Linked DNA regions of Schizosaccharomyces pombe. Changing the gene in region 1 together with any one later gene gives a genetic interaction. Each region holds a gene or a part of one and is shown on either strand. Other genes may lie near its edges.

Region 1 (3,445 bases):
AACACTACACTTGTAACGCACATTATGTATAGGTTGCTCACAATGGTCACAAATGGCGTACATAAAATTAGATTGGGGAGAAACTGACATAGAATTTACGCTGCAGGTTAAGGAAGCAACTGAAGGGATTGAAGAGCGAACAAGTACGAAATGGGGTTTTGGGCAAGGATGGAGGAATGCCTGTTTCGCATAGCAGTCTCTACAAACATCGAAATCGAAACACTTTGTGCAATGAAATGAGTCATTCCGAATTATCTTGAGGCAAGTGTTACAAGCAACAGAAGAAGACCTTAAAGTAGGCGAATTATTATTGTGCTCAAAAATGTTTGACTTTAAATTATTCTCCTTAGTGAAGTGGATATTAGCGACTGAGGAATGAAAAGGAGGGAAGGAAGGAACACTATGGTTGCAAAGAATCCCACAATCAGAAGAGGGACATGTACGATTGCAAAGCATTTCGGGATCAAAAACGTGAATAAAATAAAATAAAATTTAATGATAAAAGAGAGCGTTAAAGAAAGCAAAAAAAAGAAAAAAATCGCGTAAGCAGTCAAGAAGTAACTCGAGTTCTTAGGTAAGAGAAGGTCTTAATTGTAGGTAAAAAGCTCTTTCGAAATAAGCTAAAGCAAAATTAGTAACGATATTAACTAATGAAATTAGTTGCAAAGTAAAATTTAATAGTTCATATGAATTTTGAAATTGAGGAAATATGTGACGCCGAAGTGAGCAACAGTGCTAGCAATTTCAGAGTAAAGGCAATAGAAAAAACAATCTTTATCAAGACAAGGATTTTTACGTTCTCGTAAATATTTATCGAAGATGTTATTATTAAAGTTCCATCAACCACTTTAGTCCTTCAATCCTTTTTGTAATTTGTTGTACAAACATTGAACTTAAGACTTTGTGCAAGTAAATTATCTTACCTATAGACGGAACAGGAAATAAAGACAAAACAAATAATTGAAGCGGATGTGTAGAGATACAGTGCAAACGAAATGTAAGGAGCGTTGGAATTGCAACTATAATGACGGGTTCCTAATTGGTTATGAAATCAAGCTATTAATTCTAAATGGGATGTATTCAACGGGTGAAGTGAGCAGGACAAATTCGCTAGTAGAAGTTGATGGTAATGTAAATGAACGAGGTCGAGGTGTAAGCTTATCACACGTATATGGGGGATGAGCATATCGTACTGATAATAGATAAGTTAAGCGTCGCTAAAAAGTGGTAGCGTTTAGAAGCGTGCACAGCATAAACAGTAACTTAGCGAATTTATCTACAAGAGGTTGGTACTTCAACGCATGGCCCTAAAAATGAATATATGAAAAATTTTGTTGATGTAGCAAACTTGAAAAAGAAATTGATTTAGTTAAATTGGAAACTACTTAACTTAAGCCCTAAAATGTACTTAGAAATCGGCTTAGACATTAAACTAGATATGGGTTATGGCATAAATGTAATTTAAATGAGATGTGAGTCGATAAAGTATTAATATTATATATTCTTAAATCATAAGTTGACGCTATTCTAATATCAATAAGCGATTATGAACTGAAAACGTAAATAAATGCAATTTCTCTTACAGCGTAAAATCTTTTACTACAATAATAGAAAAGGGTAGGAAAAACTCCATTATATTGGCTAAAACCGGTCACGGTATCTTTTGATGATCCGTTTGTAAAATCAATTGCAAATGAAAAGACACTAGAGAAGGTGATAAACGACCAGTTTATAGCTAAGTTAATAATTAATGGTATACTCCGCGTTATGATTTTGCTCAAATAATAATTTTGGTTTTTTGCTGATTGTTAATATTTACATTAATGAAATTTGTAAATATACGTCAAAACAAATTAACATCATACTTACATTGTCATACTAATCGCACGTTTACGCATTAACGGGAAAAAAGTAAGCAATATTTCAGTTGGATTTTAAGTCACTCATGCACCGAAATTTTTTCCAGCATATTATTAAAAGTACAAGAACATTAGGTATAAATGCAACTTCATTTCTAACCCGATATTTACTTAACGTTGGTAGACACCAGCATCCTCCGAAATTGATTAGCTCATATTCTCACATCGCTATTTCCACCTTCTCTTTTCAAATATCAGCAACTTCATTCCAACACCCTTCATACACTGTCAAAGGTTTGAGCACCTGTATTGATAAAATGAGCCAAGATCAAAAACCTAAAGTTTTGGAAGTGTCCAACCTTGAGAATCAGGATGCCAAGTGGACATCCTTAAAGAAAATCCGTTGGCAAGACGAAAAAGGAAAAATCAGGTTTTGGGAAATGGCTGAACGTACGACACGTTCAGAAGCCAATGTGGATGCCGTAGCCATCTTAGCCATTGTTCCTATCGACGGAAGTCCTCATGTGTTGTGCCAAAAGCAATTTCGTCCTCCTATTGGCAAGTTTTGTATTGAAATTCCAGCAGGTTTAGTTGATTCTAAGGAGTCTTGTGAAGATGCTGCGATTCGAGAGCTTCGTGAAGAGACTGGCTACGTTGGTACTGTTATGGACTCCACCACTGTCATGTACAATGATCCGGGTCTTACGAATGCTAATCTTAAGATTATACTGGCTGACATTGACATGTCGAAGCCTGAAAACCAAAATCCTCAACAACAACTTGACGATGGCGAATACATTGAGAACTTTCCAATCAAGCTTTCTTCTTTACAAGAGGAATTATTTTCTTTAGAGAAGAAGGGATTTGCCATTGATGTTCGTCTCTCCACATTTGCACTAGGATTACATGCTGGTCTTAAATACTTGTCGTCTTAGCTATGCACCTTTTGCTATTCACTGAATTACGACCGTTTACTATTAAATGTTGCTAATGGACTTTTTATGCTATAACTTTCCTTTGTTTTAGTCAAACTTTATTAAAAATAATATATATGTCTATCCAATAATTCCCGTTACCGTGTTCCCCATAATTCGTAGTTCATTGCGTACATAACTGAAAAGTAATCAAAAGAAAAGAAGAAATACCAGTTATTAAGTTCACCATTACCATACATGCCTAATGAAAAAGATTTAACATTGCGCTCCATGAATAACGTTGGTTGTAAACTTCACGAACTTGCTGAAATGCTTGCACATTTGAAATGGGAAGTTGTGTTACTGGATCTAGGTAAATAGCTGGCTTCCCTGTAATAACGCACTCAACTGCTCGATGTTGAGGCATTTGAAGTGGAGGAGCACTATGACAAAGAGGGTGTTCCAACGGAGCAACATAGTAATTCGAAGCCTCCCTTCCATCTTCAGTGCTAATAGTTTTGCTAATGAATTTTAAAATTGGCTCACGTAACTGGCGATGCTTAGCAGCATTCCGTTTAAGTCGTAGTCGTCTTTGTTCTTCCAAATGAACATAGTTTCTTAAGGAGCTAAGGTTTTGAGCTTCAGTTTTGGCAGCCTCCTCGAAACGCTGCT
Region 2 (3,589 bases), 1.1 Mb from region 1:
GGTGCGGAGGTATGGCATTTTAATGTTGAGCAACGTTCAGTCGTTCGTCGTTGGCAAGTTCAAGATGGTGTATCTACCACTCATTTTTGTTTGGACCCATCTAATAAGTATTTGGCAATTGGTAGCAAGAGTGGTATTGTTAATATATATGACCTCCAGACATCCAATGCGGACGCTGCACCAAAACCTGTCACTACATTGGATAATATTACTTTCAGCATAAATAGTATGAGCTTTTCTCAAGATAGTCAAGTTTTAGCTATCGCATCTCGAGGAAAGAAGGATACTCTACGACTCGTTCATGTTCCCAGCTTTAGTGTGTTCCGTAATTGGCCCACCAGCGCTACGCCTTTAGGCAGAGTTACATGCCTAGCTTTTGGTAAGGGTGGTGAGTTATGTGTTGGTAATGAAGCTGGAAGGGTTGGACTTTGGAAACTAGCTCATTATGATTTGAAGTTTGTGCCAGATAAAATTATTAATTGGGAAATACGGTTGGGCAAATTTGGATACGTTTTATTAGGGATTCAAATCTTAATACTACATGTAGACGTTGTTATATTATAGATCAATGCATTACATTATTATTACTAAAAAGCTTTAAGCGAAATATAATAAAATTCAAGTCCTTATAGTACCTTTTTTATACCTAGGTTCGAAACACTAGTAAACGATTGTTTAATATGAGCCGATTCATTTTTCTGCTGTATGTTCTCTTCAACAGAATTTATAGAAAGAGGAAATCTATTACACGTTAATGGAGTCAATATCAGACTCCTAATTTGTTTGTTTTTTTTTGGTAAATAAATAGTAAACGTTCACTGAACACCGTATTTTTGCTTAACTTGTTCCAAGGCGGCATACCTTGCTGCCAAATCTTGACCATCAACCTTAGCTCTTTCAGGGTTATAATAATGCACTAAAAAAAAAGTTAACAAGAAGATATTAAAAAGCCGTTAGAAAGGAGAAATTAAAATTAATAGTAGCTAATACATTCCCTAAGATAACGTACCAACCAAGTATCTATCCATGAAGTTGTAGCCAGAAAGCTTTTCGCAAGCTCGACGAGCGTCTTGAACGTTTTCATAAACCACAAATGCAGTACCTCTTGTTTGAACCGTATTCCCCAGCCTTATTTGTCGTACAGGACCATACCTACCAAAAAGATCGTACATCTCTTCTGCTGTAATTTTAAAAGACAAGTTCTTGATGAATAGGATAGAATTGACTTCTTGATTAACTGTAGATGGAGGCATTTGTTATTTTTACGATCTTAACACTTTTTGTTAAAAAAATCAAATTTCGAAAAGAAATGATTTGGTTTGCTTTGGAAAGGATAAATATTCCTAAAAGGTTGGTTGGGATCAGATGGAAAATACTCGTTATCACAGCTTGGAGATTGATGTTGTATAGTCAATCCTATACGTGAGTTTAATTATAGTAGAAAAGATTGAGACATGAATATTAAAGGTTACGTTTCGTGGTTTGGACAAGAAGAGGTATATGCTGGGAAATCGAATGGACCAACAGATCGTAGACAAAACGGTTCAACCTTTTACCAAAATTTTCCTCTTCTTTTACCTGGTAACTCCAAATGTCAAATGCAATCCTTAGTTCATGAGATCTTTGATCAGAGTTGAAACTGACATGGCGGTGATTTCAATAGAGAGTCAATTTAAAGTGATTTTCAAATTATACATAACTAGTTGAAAATCATAAACATTTTTATTGGTATTTTTTGCTTCCTCGTTTGTCTATCCTACAGGAAATAGGTTTCAACTTTAAAACTGACAATTGCAAAGAATAGTTTGATAGTATAGTTGTATCATCAATTTATATTTTTCCTTATTTCTTTACTTTCTTTTAACTTATACTCTTGTTTGGCAATGGGACTTTTATCAAGGAAACAATTTGGTATCATTGATCTTTTGCCTACAGACCAACTAGTTCATCAATTTCTTCTCAAGTTCTTTTGAAATTTCTTAAATTTTTTATTTCCTGATCCCAGAAAACTACATCTGCAAAATTAATGATTCATTTTACGCTTCCAATGCCATGCTTTCGTATATAAGTGATAGCAACAGAGACACTAAAGGGAAAGGATAGCTTTGTTGAATATGTGGATCTTACTGTACTTCATTTTATCTAATTTGAAAGATTTCTCATTGCTCTTTGCTTACAACTGCTCTTAATTGAGAATGTGCTGCATTGCAAATGCTGTTTTGAAGCAATTTAGGAAATTACAGAAAAAAGAAACTATAGTAGCGTTTACAATTTCGAAAACTATACTAATAATTTTAACTAATGAAGCTAGCTATATTCATTATGATAAGCAGGAACTAAGTATTTAAAAAAGTAAATAATGTTGTACAAAAACGAAATAAACCAACTAACGTTAAAGTACGAAATTAATTGACTCATCTATAACCGTTCTTTATTTTTTTTATTTTTTCAATGAATAAAGCTATTGGCATTGATTGCTAATCTGGTTTGATATATGATATACATATTTTTCTTTTTGAAGTATTGAACAATTCTTTTTACGCTTCTAGTAGATTAATTACCATTTACTCTTTTTTTAAAAAAAATAAATAAATAAATAAATAAATAAAATTTTGTATATTCAAGTGGTTTCTGCTCATTAGCCTAATTCGCAAATAACTCTAGTTTAACATAAAATTTAACTTGACGAAATGCGAAAAATGTCTTGTACGACAAAATTTCAAGAGTTAGGATTGAGAGAAGAATTAAAAAACAATAGAACAATAAAACTATTGCACGTAACCCCTAAAACTTGTTGAAATTGGCAATGTTGATTAAATACCTATATCTGAATTAATTTACGAGAGAAAAAAACCTAAACGAAAGATTAATAAAAGCGCATATTTAAGGAAAAATTTTTCTATGAATAATTTCTCTTTTCATCCATTAATCGCCTTCTTGACCCATTTCTTCTCTTGTATTTACATTTTCATCTTAAGTAACACGTCACCTACATCAAGCATCCAGGTAGTCATCGTGGCAAGCATGAATTTGCTCTTTCCCCATATTCGCTACTGAGGTGTGCAGCCCTTCCGCGGCGTCATTGGAACTTCCACTGGGCCGGAAAGGCAAGAAGGATAATTACGGTTTTTAACGTTGAATACGCAAATATTTATAACGAAACGGTGGTTGAGAACTCGTAAATTGAATGAAGAAAATTTGATAAAGGTCGATAAATTTATTTAGCGATAATTTAACGATTTTACCGAGTTAACAAATTAAAGATTTTAATTATTTTTTAATATATTTGTATAAGTGAACAAATAGGTTTGCTTCGCCGTCTTTTTCAACTTGTCGGAAACAAACAATTATCTGGAATTTTTTTTTACTCGCACTTAGATTCTCCGCGTTTTATACGCATATACTAACAAGGAAAGGAATTTAGCTAATCGATAGATTCTGGACCTTTCCTTCTTTGAAACACATTTTCCCCCGTTGAATTGGTTTTGTTTACATTCAAATAAGGTAAAAGCACTCTTCCAATTGAAGACTATAGAGCTCTAATTCGATCGTTTTCTTTGAAATTTTTAAAAATTACTATCATATGAGC

What was found.
Region 2: mutations in ysa1 (region 1) and sap14 together harm fitness less than expected from each alone (positive genetic interaction), as found in Schizosaccharomyces pombe (one large-scale study listed by BioGRID).

What each region holds. Positions count from the first base shown.
Region 1 is NC_003423.3:987,382-990,826, forward strand, and holds ysa1 (subfamily NudF ADP-ribose diphosphatase Ysa1), read left to right. Parts: upstream 1-2,108; 5' UTR 2,109-2,176; coding exon 2,177-2,794; 3' UTR 2,795-2,945; downstream 2,946-3,445. Other genes in the region: protein Nbr1, read right to left, coding at 1-456; Swr1 complex histone chaperone module subunit Swc2, read right to left, coding at 3,036-3,445.
Region 2 is NC_003423.3:2,049,443-2,053,031, forward strand, and holds sap14 (Pre-mRNA branch site p14-like protein), read right to left. Parts: upstream 1,327-3,589; 5' UTR 1,254-1,326; coding exon 1,010-1,253; exon of another isoform or gene 917-1,009; coding exon 816-916; 3' UTR 555-815; downstream 1-554.